2 linked regions of the Arabidopsis thaliana genome follow. The protein of the gene in region 2 interacts with the protein of the main gene of each other region in a pairwise test. Each region holds a gene or a part of one and is shown on either strand. Other genes may lie near its edges.

Region 1 (8,871 bases), on a different chromosome or scaffold from region 2:
CAAGATTAACGCTATGCAAGATGTTACAAACACCACCTGGTCGTCATAGAGTATCCATCCAATTTCAGAGTATTTCTCTAATGTTTTTATACTTCATCAGAATTGCACTTGATCCATCTATGCACTGGATTTGTGACAAGTGATGACATCTTCCTCGTTTGCTGTGTCATCTGCTTTTATTCATTATACCTGATTATGTCTCAAATATGATTCTTCAAACACTACCAAAATTATATGTTGAGTATTCAATATGCGACCGAGATTATGGAATTTCAAACTTTCACAATTAATAGGTTTCTACTTTCACACAAATTAGGCCTAGTTTATTTCATCAGTTAACATTTACATCCAAATTTTTTATAGCGACTACATATCTACCAATATGTTATGATTATTGAAATAATTTGAATAATAAAGAGAAAATAATTTGACCAAAAGTAAGCATAAATTAAGCAAAAAATAAGTAAAATACGTCTATATAATAGAAAAGTTCACTTTCGATCTACGATGTCTACATCAACATCCAAGTCATCATATTGTGGCCTGCCTAAATTTTATTTATTGAAATCAAAACATTACAGCTAAAATTAATTCACACATTAAATAAAACAATAATTGACAAAATTAAATTAAATATTATAAAAAATTAAAAAATAAATACACAACATAAACTATGAAATTTTTTATATCAGTGTTAAGAAAATTAAAATAGATTGAACAAAAAAAATAAAGTGAACAAAAAACTATCATAAACATCACAAATAAAAATAAAAATTCTATGAATACGTAGGCTTTTTACAGTCTCTCGACCGACACGTCGACATTCACAGAATGGTGAAGATGTTTCTAGTAAGACCGTGGGGTGATTTATCAACGGTGGTGATTATGGAATCTTAAATGGATGTTTTGATAGATCCAGTGGGATGGACTCCATGAAATAGCAGCACTAGTGGGGATTTGTCCACATTGTTCTACCGCGAATATCAAAACAAAGGCCCCAGAGCAAACGCAAGCCAGAGAGTCCATCCGAATGGGAACAAGATCATCACAGACCCGATGGAAGCAGTCATGTTTACGGTTAGAGAGTTCATAAATAGAGATTCGTGGCTCAACGCCACCGGAGTTCCATACAACGAGGGTTAATGATTAAAGAGAAATTGTAAAAAATGTTCTTCCAAAATTATCATTTTTTAATTATAACCTTTCCTGTTAGTCATTTTCATTTATACGTTAATTTAATTTTTAATGACTATTTTACTCATATTTTGAAAATATTTTAGGTTAACAAAATAGAATATCGATTTTTTTCGCCAAAAATATTCCGAAAATAATTTTTCTGTCAATTTTTTTTTTCCAAAAACATTTTTCCCGTTTTTGTTTTGGCGATAAATAGATTTGTAAATGGTTTTAAAAGTAAGGAAATGTGATAGATTACAATGATTTTTAAATGTAAATTGGTGGGAATTGTTTTGATGGGAAAAATAAAAAATTTGTAAGGAAATTGTTTTTTGGCATTGGTAGAAAATAGAGATTGAGACCTAAGTCGAGCAAGTTCCACAATTATTGGGCTTAGATCAATCGCCGTAGAGTTAATACTATACGAAAAAGACCAAAATTGGTCTCTTGGTAATGGGCTTTATTCTCAAGTATGTATATGTATGTTTCTCGTAAACGACATCGTTATAGTAGAATTAGGGCTTAATAACGATGTCGTTTCAAATCTTTCCAAAAGGACCAAAATTAGCCCTCTTGTTTCCAATTCCGGGACTGGAAAGACCGCTCAAACAATTCCAATCACAACGCCGACTAGAAACAGAAGCCTCCGGCGAACTTCTCCCTCCTCAAAAAATCTCTCTCTCTCTCTGATATGCTATCTCTTATTATCTTTCGATTGTCCCACTTGGTATCTTATTAGTGGTCTTGTGCCAATGTGTGATTTGAATAGAGCCATTTTAACGAACTCCTGAACTTATGATTCTCTTGTCTTTAGTGTTCTTGTCTCTCTGTAGATAGTTAAAGCTGTGTCCTTTTTTTCTTCCATAAATCTCAGTGCTGTATAACTACATTGTAATGAACCCTACCCGTTCATACATTTGTTTAAGAAGTCCAGCTATGTCACTTACCACATTCCATGGAATCAATGCTTCTATTCATGTTTAAAATCCAGTTTAAAGCCTGCAAGTGTGAGTGTATCTAGTGTTCATTGATATTCCTCAAGATCAAAGACTGCTAAATCAAAGATGTCAAAAAGCTCTGTTTCTGTTTCGGATTTGATTGATTGTCAAGCTCAAGTTGGATCTTCGGTGAATTCATCTTCCTCAAGAAAGATAAGAAGGCGGACATAAATACATTCATGGAAAAGCTTGTGTCATGGGAAACTGTAAGCACAAGGTTGGAATCCGCAATTGCTCGAGCAGTGCAACGAGAACAAGAAGGAACAGAGACAGAAGATGAAGAGAATCCAGATGACCAAGAGCCAGAGGTCTATTTAGATAGTGATATCGATGTATCTGAGGTTGACTAAAACCTCTGAAGCAATAACATTAGCATCTTAAATGTCAATTACAGGAGCAAAAAAATTTGCATTCTTAAGCCCCAAACATTAAATTAAATTTTGAGACTGTTGGGAGTTAAATAAATGACTAACTTAAGCAAAAACAAAAAGCTTTGTTACAAATTTACATTCCTCCTATTTGGGGTCTAATGATGAGTTACTGCGAGGAGACCTTTGATTGGATAAACCCAAATATCTTTCTTCAGATGGTGAATGTCTGTAAACCCTTTGTATACCATATGGTAACTGTTGTTGTCCATGAATTGGAGGAGAGTACTGTAGTGGATGTCTCTGTCCGTGAACCAAAGACGGAGAGTACTGTCGATGAAGTCTATGTCCGTGACCTGGAGAATATGAATTTGGGGCCAGATGTTCATATGCATATACACTTCTTCCTAACCCACCATGTGGAAGTGGAACCATATATTCCGGGGATCTTCTTGAGCGATGAGGAAAAGATGTTGACGGGCCGAGGTAACTACTCACAAGAGCTGATATTTCATCTTGGTCATCGTCTCTTTGACTAGGAAAGCTTCTATCACGGTAGATAGGAGAATACGATGAAGAAGTTACTGGTGGCATTTCCATGGGTGATAACCTTGGACGTTTTATCTGTTGGTTATACATTCTCTTGGCAAGTGCGGCTTCCTCCATTAAACTGAGAGATCTTGCTTTCTCTTCCATCTCTTTGTCGAGCTGAAGAGTGTCTTTCTCCAAGCTAACAATTTGCTCTTTGATCTGCCATCCTGGTAGTTCTTTCGCAGGATCTAACTTGTGAGTCTCCATACACTGCATAACTGATGATAACACAGCTAGCTGCTTTGTAGCCGCTTCTTTCTGTTGAGAAATAAATATATCAATGGTCAGACTCAGATGATGATAAAGAGTTCATAAAGGTACATAATGTGCAAGGGAAGGGTTCATACAAATGCCAGCGGTGACTGGGCTTTCCGTTTTGCCCTCTCAAATGACTCCTTGCTCATCTTTAAGAATGAAGTTAGAACTAGAGCAGCTGAAAACTTATCCTCCATGCCAAAGGTATAAACCATTTCAAGAGCTTCAATATGCATTCCACGCTTGATACTTGATTCAACTATACCTATGACCAATAGAATATTGTGTAAGTACCACTTCTTAGAGTTGGCATTGCTTAAGCTTAATTAGTATCCAACAGCTAAGTCATATGATTTTAACTTCCAATATTGGAAACCACAAGAAACACTATTTCAAGGCAATAGCCTATCATTTGGTTCTGACAAGCAACAATTTCGTACCAAAACCTATGGTTGAGAGTTCCAAGTTCTTTCCAGATTAATTTCTAGCTAGGATTTGGCTCAATCAGTCATTGCACTCTAAATATTTGATGTGCTCTCCTAGTTTATACCATCAAGCTTATCGAAAAACAAAGATGGAACTTGATGTTGGTCGATGATGTCAACAAAAGGAACCACCTTTGCAATGAAATTCACCGAGTGAGAACAGAATATGGTACCTGAAACTGTGACCGCTTCAAAGCACCGGCAATCTCATTCGAACCACTCATCCTTATCAAATCCAGCAAATCTGTACTCCTAAAGTTTGAAGGAACACCAAAACAAGCAACTAGTAAAAGCAAACCCCTTGCATCCATTTTCTCAGCCGCAGCTAATCCTCCTTCAGTCATCAACCTTTTCCTCCAAGCAACAGCAGCCGTCTCCGCCTCATCTTTAATCCAACTCTCAATCTTCACCTTCCCTTTACCACGATCAGGCATTAGAAGAAAAGACTCCAGTATAAGAAGCGAAACTTGTCTCGCAGAGCTCATAGGCGACTCTTTAGTAAATGCTCTACGCCCTTGTAAGTAAAACTTGCCAATACAATCCAATACAAACTTCGCTGGCTCCTTGGCCAATTTCAAAGCTGAAGGAATCTCTTCCATTAACTTAGCTTGATCAGAGATATTCGCGTATATGTATTTACGCAGACCTTTGCTACACATCAACTCACATATACGTTCCCCCTCCGGTTTATTCGACGTCTCCGGTACAATCTCCTGAGACGGTTGGCTCACAGTGACGGTGGTTTCTACAGATACATTGTTCCGCGGAGGCGATAACATCGGCTGATGGAAATTATTGTTCCGCGCGGCGAGGACAACGCCGTTACTCTCGAGTTTGGAATCAATTGCGTTTTCGATTGACTCGATGTGCTTCTGAAGATCATCGAATTGGCGTTTGAATGTTTCCACTGCAACTGAAAACGCAGCTAATTCGTCTATGGATTTCAAAAATTGAGGCTGCTTAGATTGACCGATCGTAATGTCCATACTTGTAGACTCTGTTTCGACAATCTTCGGTAATTCTCTTCGTCGCTGTTCAGATTGATGTCGCTGCAGCAGTGGATTCGCCGTCGTTGTGGGTTGCGCCGCCACCGTCGGTGGATAATTGGACATGAGATTGCGGCGAAGAAAAAAGATTGCAGAAGCCCTAATTTCCACTCTCCTTAAATCGGTCAAATTACCAAATTTTATTGAACTGTATATTGTGAAGTTCACATAAATTATATATTAATTAGGAAGTAACCTATCTTTTAATTAGGAGAAAACGACTTTTTCCTTTGAGGTAATCGTTATATGTTTAGGGCTTTTATAGTTTTGCTTATGAAAATATGTATTTGTGTTTAATAATTTAATAAAAGTCAGATATATATACACTCTTTTGAGTCTATGCCAAATAATTGAATCTACGCACTTTTCTCTTTATTCTTTGTATTTGATTAATGAAAACATAGTTAGGTTGCATGATTACGACATGTAATATATTGTTTTAAATAGTCACTAAAGCAGTGGTTTATAACATGTCTAATCACAAATAACGGTTCTTGCTCGGTAATATGAACCCAAAAGTTACTGTCTTACTCTACCTGCACTAATGGGGGTGATGGTGTGCTCTTTTTAGTCTTCAAACACGATAATCCCATGATAAAATCCTTGTGTACTTGGTTTAAGTTGTGACTTGTGAGTACTTTTAGTTTTAGGTGGGAAAGAAATGAAAACATTGTGGGCTGACGGTACTAGGTAAGCCCAATAAGGAAAACGACTCTACGCAATCAGAGAAGGTCGCCAAGCGTACGGTCGCTCCCTCATCAACGAACAACGTCGCTCGCTTTTTTATTAATAATAGTTCACAAATATTAAAACACATTTGGAAAATGACTTGGTCACGCGCACCCAAAGGCAGTGCAAAACTAAACGAGCCACCTATCAGTAAAACGTAGCCGTTGATTCGAACCACGTGTATATTGCACGCACCACATGCGAGTACGAGTAAGAGAGTTGGTGGTATATTCACGGCATATTATATGTGCACGAATTGAATCTCTCTAAGCACGAGAGGGCATTTTCGTAACTTTCTTATAAAAAAATCCTACCACGAGTGATTGGGCAAAAAAAAACTGAAAGAGGAAAGAGAGAGTTGGACGGAAAATCTGAAGACCGCCGAGAAAAATACTGTTGAAACGGAACTCTCTTACGTTTTTTCTCAGGAGATACGTTTCATCTTCCTCTCAGTAACTACTCGATTCTCACTCACTCTCGCCGCCATTGATTCTTCATCAGCTGAAGCCTTGAAGCTCTCTTCTCTTATGATCGGTCAGTCTCTTGTTCTCTCCGTCTTTCTGCAGCAGTAATATGGATTTTGCGTCTAGCGTTCAGCGCCAGAGTATGTTTCACGGTGGTGCGGATTTTGCGAGTTACTGCTTGCCGAATCGAATGATAAGTGCGAAACTCTGTCCCAAAGGACTCGGCGGCACTAGATTTTGGGATCCGATGATTGATTCTAAAGTTCGCTCAGCTATTAGATCGAAACGAAATGTATCGTATCGTTCTTCTTTGACTTTGAATGCTGATTTCAATGGAAGATTTTACGGTCATTTGCTTCCTGCAAAACCCCAAAATGTTCCGCTGGGGTTTAGGTTACTTTGTCAAAGTAGCGATTCTGTAGGAGATTTGGTTGGGAATGACCGGAATTTGGAATTTGCTGAAGGTAGTGATGACAGGGAGGTTACGTTTTCTAAGGAAGAGAAAGACACAAGAGAGCAAGATTCTGCACCTAGTTTGGAGGAACTCAGGGATCTACTGAATAAGGCAACTAAAGAATTGGAAGTGGCTAGTCTCAACAGTACCATGTTTGAAGAAAAGGCTCAGAGGATTTCAGAGGTAGCGATAGCACTTAAGGATGAAGCAGCCAGTGCGTGGAACGATGTAAACCAAACACTTAATGTGGTTCAAGAGGCTGTTGATGAAGAGTCCGTTGCTAAAGAAGCTGTTCAGAAGGCTACTATGGCATTATCTCTGGCTGAAGCAAGGCTGCAGGTTGCACTTGAATCACTAGAAGCAGAAGGGTACAATACTTCTGAAGAGAGTGAGGTTAGAGATGGTGTTAAAGATAAAGAGGAAGCCCTTTTATCTGCTAAGGCTGACATAAAAGAATGCCAAGAAAATTTAGCAAGCTGTGAGGAACAACTCAGGCGTTTGCAAGTTAAGAAGGACGAGCTGCAGAAGGAAGTAGATAGATTGAATGAGGCTGCCGAGAGAGCGCAGATCAGCGCATTGAAAGCCGAGGAGGATGTTGCAAATATCATGGTTTTGGCCGAACAAGCTGTGGCATTTGAGCTTGAGGCTACTCAACGTGTGAATGATGCAGAGATTGCTTTGCAAAGAGCAGAGAAGACTCTTTTTGGTTCCCAAACCCAAGAAACAACCCAGGGAAAGGTATTGGATGGAAAGAATACTATTGTTGGTGAGGATGAAGTCTTGAGTGAAATTGTTGATGTAAGCCATCAGGCTGAAAGAGACTTAGTAGTAGTTGGAGTTTCATCAGATGTTGGGACTCAGTCTTACGAGTCAGATAATGAGAACGGAAAGCCAACTGCAGATTTTGCTAAAGAGGCTGAAGGAGAAGCAGAGAAGTCAAAGAATGTTGTTCTGACAAAAAAACAGGAAGTGCAGAAAGATCTGCCAAGGGAGAGTTCATCTCATAATGGTACCAAGACATCATTGAAGAAATCCTCTCGTTTCTTTCCTGCATCTTTCTTCTCTTCCAATGGGGATGGAACCGCAACAGTTTTTGAGAGTTTAGTTGAATCTGCGAAACAGCAGTGGCCTAAGCTAATTCTTGGATTTACACTTCTTGGGGCAGGGTTAGTTGGATACTCAATTGTTTTGACGAATTATGATAAACCATAAACTTTTTTGTCTGTTTTTTTTTAATAGCAAGTTTTCTGATTCATTCTAGAGTGGCAATCTATTCCAACGGAGTAGGAAGGAACAATCAGCTGCCACAACAGCCAAATATTGTCAGCACTAGCGCAGAAGATGTTTCCTCCAGCACAAAACCTCTGATCCGTCAGATGCAGAAACTTCCAAAGAGAATAAAGAAACTACTTGAGATGTTCCCTCAGCAAGAGGTATGAGTGGTCATGCAGGAAATGTACTCTTTCACGAGTCCCATACATACCTTATGGAATTTAACTGTCTGCCTCCAACTTTTATAACACTTAGGTTAATGAGGAGGAAGCTTCCCTTCTCGATGTGTTGTGGTTACTGCTTGCAAGCGTCATATTCGTGCCTCTATTTCAGAAAATTCCTGGAGGTAACGTAATATATTAATTCACTCATTGTATTTTAAATCCCCATATTTTGTCCTCCTTGTTTCATTTGGACTTGTACTATTCATTGTTATCATCAGACAAACCATTTCACTTCTGTTGCCGCAATCATAATGCATAGAGATTTAAATGCTATCTTGTTGGTTTCTTCTGCTGCAATCTATAGGCAGCCCTGTTCTTGGGTATTTGGCGGCGGGAATCTTGATTGGTCCTTATGGTCTCTCAATAATTCGTAATGTGCATGGAACCAAGGCCATTGCAGAATTTGGAGTTGTCTTCTTGCTTTTCAACATTGGCCTTGAGGTTAACTTCAGTATTTGATATATATGTTGTTCCTTTTTCCTTTGATATGTGCTTAGTGGAAAGAAGAGCCAATTATTTCGATTCTATTTGTCTGACAGCTCTCTGTCGAAAGGCTTAGTTCCATGAAGAAATATGTTTTTGGATTAGGCTCCGCGCAGGTGATTTGAGACTCTCTTTATTTTTTTGAGCTACAATGCATGCCTGTTTCTGTCTATATTGCCGTAGTTTAGTCATTTTATCTGATTTTTCATTGTTGTAATCCAGGTTCTGGTAACGGCAGCAGTAATTGGTTTGATCACTCACTATGTTGCTGGTCAGGCTGGTCCAGCAGCAATAGTAATTGGCAATGGCCTGGCATTGTCTTCCAC
Region 2 (7,704 bases):
AACAACATCAACACACGCCTCGACGCACGCACCGTCTCTGTTCTTCTCCGTCACTGTGAATCTAAGCTTCTTTTCGTCGACGTCTTCTCCGTTGATCTCGCCGTTGAAGCGGTCTCGATGATGACGACTGATCCGCCGATTCTCGTCGTCATCGCCGATAAAGAAGAGGAAGGAGGAGTTGCTGACGTGGCTGATCTTTCAAAATTCAGTTACACTTACGATGATCTTATCGAAAGAGGTGATCCGGGTTTTAAATGGATCCGACCCGAAAGCGAATGGGATCCGGTTGTGCTTAATTACACTTCCGGTACGACTTCAGCTCCTAAAGGAGTGGTACACTGCCACAGAGGAATTTTCGTAATGTCAGTTGATTCACTAATTGATTGGGCCGTACCGAAAAATCCGGTTTACTTATGGACTCTACCGATATTTCACTCTAACGGTTGGACCAATCCATGGGGAATCGCCGCCGTCGGAGGAACTAACGTCTGTTTGCGTAAATTTGACGCGCCGTTAATCTACCGTCTGATCCGTGATCACGGCGTCACACACATGTGTGGAGCTCCGGTGGTGCTCAACATGTTATCCGCGACTCAGGAATCTCAGCCTCTTAACCATCCCGTCAACATCTTAACCGCCGGTTCTCCGCCTCCAGCTACCGTCCTCCTCCGAGCCGAATCAATTGGTTTCGTTATCAGTCACGGTTACGGATTAACGGAAACCGCCGGTGTAATCGTCTCGTGCGCGTGGAAGCCAAAATGGAATCATTTACCGGCAAGCGATCGAGCGAGATTGAAGGCACGGCAAGGAGTGAGAACCGTCGGGTTTACTGAAATCGACGTGGTGGATCCTGAATCGGGTTTGAGCGTTGAGAGAAATGGAGAAACTGTCGGAGAAATTGTGATGAGAGGAAGCTCGGTCATGCTCGGTTACTTAAAAGATCCGGTCGGAACAGAGAAAGCTTTAAAGAACGGGTGGTTTTACACCGGAGATGTTGGTGTGATTCATTCCGATGGTTATCTAGAGATTAAAGATAGATCGAAAGATATAATTATAACGGGAGGTGAGAATGTGAGTAGTGTTGAGGTTGAAACGGTGTTGTACACGATTCCGGCGGTGAATGAAGTGGCGGTGGTGGCTAGACCTGATGAGTTTTGGGGAGAGACACCGTGTGCGTTTGTGAGTTTGAAAAATGGGTTTAGTGGGAAACCTACGGAGGAGGAATTGATGGAGTATTGTAGAAAGAAGATGCCCAAGTATATGGTTCCTAAAACGGTGTCGTTTATGGATGAGTTGCCTAAGAGTTCGACGGGAAAGGTTACGAAGTTTGTGCTTAGGGACATTGCAAAGAAGATGGGTGATAAGACAATTTCTTAAACGTCTTTCTTTCACCGTTCCACAAAATTACGAATCACATTGATTCTAATTTTATGGAATGCATATGTTGTACCAATGGACAATGGCTTAATCTATATTTGTAATCCATCTATTGTATACGGGATGTGTTTCCTTTATATGTAACAAAATGGTTTGGGGTTTATTTGTTTTCACGCTGTTTGGAAATTGGAATATTCTTAAAAATATATATTGCCTATGAGCTTATGTAAGATGTTTAAGAATCTTTTTTAGTGTGTTTCATTTTATTAGATTCTTTAATGTTTTAATGAGAAAACAGAAAACCTAAACCCTAATTGTCAAGCTTTCGCTTTCCTACATAAAACATATGTTACTATATTTCTGTGAGAGTAAATATTACTTCTTCCAATCCTTAACCTCATCTCTGTATAAAAATGTCTTCATTCTGGAGGAAGTGACAACAAGTGTCTTAATTTCCCTTATGGAGAAATGAGTTTAGTGGGTACGTATGATCTTTTAGACAAATATTGTGAAGATTTTGCAATTTATTGCAAAACTGGTTTGGTTATTTTTTTAGCGATCGTTACCAAGTTTACAAGTAGTGGACTAGTGGTCAAGCCAGTCCGATGTCTGCAGACTGCAGCTGGTGGTTGCTAACCAGGTTATCTCTTCTATAGTTAGATATGCACTTCCTGGTTTTGGTAATATGGCTTTGACGGAATATGGTAACTACTGTATTAGTCACTTGTTTTACGACATTGGTGATAGAAATGATATATACTTGCTAGGTTTCTGTGGAAGAGCTTGTTGTAGTTGTAGCCTTGTAGGAGCCAAGCAATGCATAATGGAGAACAAGAAGTGTTAGAGCATCATTATCAATGGGTTTTCAAAAAGTTTAGAAAAATTCTTAAAATATTATATAAGATAAAATATGAATAAAAAATAGAAAAGAGTTCTTAGAAAAGTTAAATTGGCTCTTAAATAAGAGATTTTTGATACATTCTCTTAACTTATTAAGAGCCTCCTAATATTTAATTATTATTTTATATATAAAAATGTTAAGAATTTTATTAAGAACCCATGAATAAGGATGGTCTTAGCACATTTTTTCTTTCTCTCTTTTTTCCTATTAAACCCAAACAATTACAAGGTCCATGACGCCAACAAAAGCACGCAGGCCCATAATTATAAATCTTACAAGGCATAAACTGCCTAATACGGCACACATGCCCAAAAACAAGAAAAACCGATCTGCATTATGTATGTTTTTTTCGGCGAGTATGTGCATTATGTATGTTTGATGACTAATTAGTTTGAGTAAAGAAAGATTTTGCTTTTCTGCTTCTGTGTTTTCTTCGACACTTCGATATGTAGTTCCCGTTTCTGGAAGTTGGTGGTCTGGTGTTGGTTGGTGGGTATAGTAAGTATTGTATGAATCGTTTGCATTCCGACATTGGTATGAGATCCGATGTTAATTAGGTTCCTGTGGAAAGGCTCGTTTTCCTTATTGAACTCATGGAAAAGAACAAGTCTAGTTAATTGACGTTATTGATGTTTGTTTGATCACTAGTTGTTGAGTAAGAGAGATTTTGCTTTTCTGCTTTGTTTTGTATTGTGAAAACTGTGTTTTAACTATTTATCAAATGGAAATACAATTTTGGTAACATTAATTGTCCAAGAAATGAACTCTTCAAGACTCTTTAGATTATGAAAGAACAATATAACAGAATCCAACCAAAGTCATCAGCTGGATTAAATAAACCAGCAGTTCTTTGGTTTATGCTGCTTCAGAGGTGTTGTTTCGTTTTAAGAGTGACGCCGCTTCAGTGAGCCGGAATCGATGAAACTGCTTCCACGAATATGCCGTCGTAGAAGACGAAGACACTTTCTTGGCTCTTTCTGAGCTATCAGTAACTAACTTACCTAGTTGTTGTTGTGAAGTAGAGGATCTGCGGCTGCTTTTGTTGAATTGTCCAACTCTATATTTTATGTTATGCTGTATGGATATTGATCACAAGTAACATATTCGACAAAGGAACTTTCGTAGACTCACATAACTGTTTCTCCTGCCTTGTAGGGGAAGAAAGTTCGTGCAGGGGGGATATAAGTTGACAAAGATAGATGGGAAGACTCTGAAATCAAATTTTCTCTTATTTTAATACCACTACTCCTTTTACTAAAGCCAATAAAGAAGAAACATTCAGCTACAGACGTAAAAAAACAATATGGCTGCTGACTTTAAATTTTGGTTATAAAATCACAACCATAACAAAGCTAGGAAGAGAGATAGTCATCAAAATGGATTCCCACTTTCTGGAGAAGATAGGATTTATCTCAAACCAAATCTCCAGAGATAAACTTAAACCAGGAGATCACATCTATTCATGGCGTAACGCTTATATCTACTCTCATCACGGTTCAGTCTCTATCTCTCAATAACGTGACTTTTTTTTTGTTTCGGATTGCATCAAAGATAATCAAATATTTGATGCTCATCCTCAGGAATATATATAGGCGATGAGAAAGTCATTCATTTCACTTGTGGAGGTGGTCTAGAAACTGGAACTGGGACCTTCTTGGACAAGATCGTCGTTAGTGTCATCCCTAATCATAAAGGAGACAATCCTTGTTCTAATTGTGAAGAGCAATTGAATCTCGAAGGTGTAATCTCTTCTTGCCTTGACTGCTTTCTCGCCGGAGGAAACATCTATCTTTTCGAGTACAGTGTCTCTCCAGCTGCATTTATCGCCAAACCTCGACGCGGCACATGCACTATAGCACCTTCGGATCCCTGCGATGAAGTCATTTCCCGCGCCAAATACCTCTTATTGCGGAATGGGTTTGGTGATTACCATGCTTTGGAAAACAATTGTGAAGATTTTGCAATATATTGTAAAACAAGCTTGCTGGTCGGAAAAGACTATGTGTTGGGAAGGGGCGGTCAAGCCAGCTCAGTGAGTGCAGCTGCGTGGCTTGCGCAACTTAGTCCTTTCGGCAGCAAAGCTATTCAGCTATTTGCAGATATTGGTATGAGAAAGGATGCTATTAAGGTGCCCGTCGAGAGCCTCGTTCCTCGCGCATATGCTACTGGTACCTCTAGAAATAGAAGGTGATGAGGTTTGAAGACACGCCAACGGGCGGGTAGGCGAATTCTTCGAAGAATCTATAATGTAGGAAACATGATCCAATATTGTAGAAAAATTCACTACTATTCTATATAAACCAAAAAAACAAAGAATGAGATTCCTCAGACATAGAGTTAGAATGATTTTTTTACTTTCCATCAAGGCAAATATTCTACAAAGATAACATTTTACATTGAGGAGATTAAGATCTTATTGTCGAGATGCAGCTAGCTACTGAGAATAATAAGGCGGGTGGTATTGAGGCGGCAACACATATCCAGTTTGCTGAGCATAGTAAAGAGATTGAGGAGTTGCACCTGAACCAAAGAGCCCAGTTAATGGGTTCACAACAACACCAGAAAATGCTGAGGTCATAAGACCATAAGGGTTCAACTGTAAGCCATGATGACTATGCTCAGGCATAAGAAGAGCTTCTGGTCTAGAAAGTAGCTGCTGACTCGGAACTGGAACTTGTGACCCATTTTTGCAGTCTCTAGTCCGCTTTTTCCCCTTTTGCTGTGGCTCTTGCTTGGGAGGATTAGTCGTGTTGCGTTTCCTCAATGCCTTATTTTTCTCCAGCTCTTCTACACGTTCCTCAACTTTCTCCTGAGTAAACTCTGATTCAAGGTTCTGATCTTTGATGATTTTGATCAATGGTTTCAAGGCACTGACTTCTTTATCAGAGGCTTCGTTCTGCGACTTGAGAGAGTAGTTATCTTCCACGCAAACTCTAAGAGCAGCTTCTCTACAGTCCTTAATGTAAGATTTCAAAACAGGGATTGGCTCAAATTCATCAGTCATCCCACACTCATACATGAATTTGACTGCTAAAATTGGTTTACCAGAATCCAAGAGAGTCTTGATGAGTTTCCCAACTCTTTTCCTATCTACACCAATCTTGTTACAAACCAAAGTTGCTTGCTTATACTTAGCGATCATGAAAACGTAATCAGAAAGCTCCTCTGTGTCAAATTCTGATCCTAATTCAAAAGCTGCGACCAAATGCAGAAACACTAACGCCTCGAAAGGCTTGACACCAACCTTAGATTTCCAATGGTAAGCCAGTTTCTTAGCTCTATTTCTCGTATCAACAGTGATATTCGCATTGATCTCAATCAAAACTTCCATTAACAAAACGAAAACTCTCCTTACATCGAATGATCTTCCCGATGATGACGGTGTGTAGTTCGAACCTTCAATCGCGTCAAGCACCATGGACGCCGTATCCGGAGAGTAACGAATCGCTGCAGAAACTTCCTGATTGAGAGGAGTTTCATCATCCCATATCCTAATCAAATACTTAATCAAACCAATTCCGTCAATCTTCTCACACAAGGCTCTCAACTCCGGCTCAACAACGGGTTGCTCCGATACCTCCTCCGAAGACGACGATTTCCCTGCATCAGAAGCGTCGATTCTATACGAATCATGTTCCAAAGGAGATGTAGAGTGGAGGAGGCGGAAACGGCTAGCAAGGGAGGATTGGAGAGAGGAAAAGTGAGAATCGATCTCAGACCAGGAAAGTGAGAAAGACGGTGAAAGGAGAGAGCGATGAGCTTGAAGATCGTCGAAAGCTTTCTTTAGCTTTTCCTTCTTCTCATCAATCTGATTTATCGCGGTGGCGATAGTCTCACTCGCCGTCATTGTTTGATCTCTAAGATTTCTTTGGCTCTCTCCGGCAAGGATATATAAGAACGTTATCGGTTCGGTTCGGTTCGAGTAAGTTTAATAAAACCAGAACCGAATTGTTTTTCACTTGATTTGGTTCGATTTATAGAAATTGAAATGGTTTGGATGAATTCAATTTCGTTTCTACTCGGTTTAGAGCGACCTCTATTAAGACAAAATCGAGACCACACCAGTCTATAGTCTCTCTTTCGAGTCTGCAGCTAGCGTGAAGACGATGAAATCGATGGGAGGAGATAGATAAGCGCGAATTTGAGAGTGAAAATTCTAAATTCAGACCCATTTTCACCGGCGCGAGTCATCGTTGAACCATGTCTTGGCTTCCTGTAGAATCTGATCCTGGTATATATTCTCTTTAACAATTTGGGGTTCCTGTTTTCTGGATATATAAAGAGATGATGTCAGTAACGAGGTTTTGATAGTGGAGCACTAAAAATGTTTGGAAAATAGTCTTGGCTTCCTGTAGAATCTGATTTATGTTTGGATTTTGTCAAATTAGAAGCCAACAAATGTTGAAAATAGTCTTCTCTGCATCTACAAGAGGTGATACTTACTGTGTGAGGATTGGAAAATAAAAGTATTGATGCTTTTTGAAATTATATATCAACAATGGTGTTTGTCTTATACTAAGTGGATTAGTGTCTCTCGATAGCCATTGTGCCATATATGTGAGTAAGACCAATGTCGCTTTCTTGTTTGTTATTTCTTCATATTTTTTGGTTTTCTGTATTCTATATTTTTAGGTATTTTCACTGAGATTATACAACAAATGCAAGTGAAAGGTGTGCAGGTTGAGGAATTGTATTCCTTGGACTTCAACTCTCTGGATGAAATAAGGTAGTTTACTTGTTACTCTTTCATCTTCTATTGTTCGAAACAGAAGAAAAACAAAGTCAAATTTACCTTGAGTTGTCTGATATTTGCAGACCTGTCTATGGATTGATATTGCTTTACAAGTGGCGTCCAGAAGAAAAGGAGAATCGTGTTGTCATCACAGAGCCAAACCCGAATTTCTTCTTTGCAAGCCAGGTCTTTTACTCTCACATTAGATTTGTGACTCACGGATTTTCCAATCATTACCTTTTTTATAAACTATGTGTTTCTTGCAGATAATCAACAATGCTTGTGCGACCCAAGCGATATTATCAGTCCTCATGAACTCTTCGAGTATTGATATTGGCTCAGAACTATCAGAACTGAAACAATTCGCCAAAGAATTTCCTCCTGAACTGAAAGGTTTAGCCATCAACAACAATGAGGCAATACGTGCAGCTCACAACACATTTGCCAGGCCTGACCCGTCTTCCATCATGGAAGATGAAGAATTAGCTGCTGCGAAAAATCTAGACGAAGATGATGATGTGTATCATTACATCAGCTACTTACCTGTTGATGGTATCTTATATGAGCTCGATGGTCTTAAAGAAGGACCCATTAGTCTTGGACAGTGTCTGGGTGAGCCAGAAGGAATCGAGTGGCTCAGAATGGTCCAACCTGTGGTACAAGAGCAGATTGACCGGTATTCGCAGAATGAGAT

Evidence for each region.
Region 1: the proteins of FRL1 (region 2) and FRI interact in a two-hybrid assay, tested with the Arabidopsis thaliana proteins (one study listed by BioGRID).

What each region holds. Positions count from the first base shown.
Region 1 is NC_003075.7:265,140-274,010, reverse strand, and holds FRI (FRIGIDA-like protein), read right to left. Parts: upstream 5,111-8,871; 5' UTR 4,986-5,110; coding exon 4,047-4,985; intron 3,654-4,046; coding exon 3,648-3,653; 3' UTR 3,481-3,647; intron 3,392-3,480; 3' UTR 2,525-3,391; downstream 1-2,524. Other genes in the region: AT4G00651 (Fe superoxide dismutase), read left to right, coding at 2,132-2,181, 2,287-2,524; KEA2 (K+ efflux antiporter 2), read left to right, coding at 6,222-7,732, 7,828-7,999, 8,094-8,184, 8,367-8,503, 8,602-8,661, 8,768-8,871.
Region 2 is NC_003076.8:5,342,928-5,350,631, reverse strand, and holds FRL1 (FRIGIDA like 1), read right to left. Parts: upstream 6,138-7,704; 5' UTR 6,126-6,137; coding exon 4,713-6,125; 3' UTR 4,526-4,712; downstream 1-4,525. Other genes in the region: AT5G16340 (AMP-dependent synthetase and ligase family protein), read left to right, coding at 1-1,377; AT5G16330 (NC domain-containing protein-like protein), read left to right, coding at 3,655-3,772, 3,859-4,469; UCH1 (Peptidase C12, ubiquitin carboxyl-terminal hydrolase 1), read left to right, coding at 6,479-6,509, 6,911-7,004, 7,094-7,196, 7,277-7,704. UniProt on the Arabidopsis thaliana protein: Required for FRI-mediated up-regulation of FLC transcripts, but not redundant with FRI and only partially redundant with FRL2. Required for the stabilization of the FRI-C complex.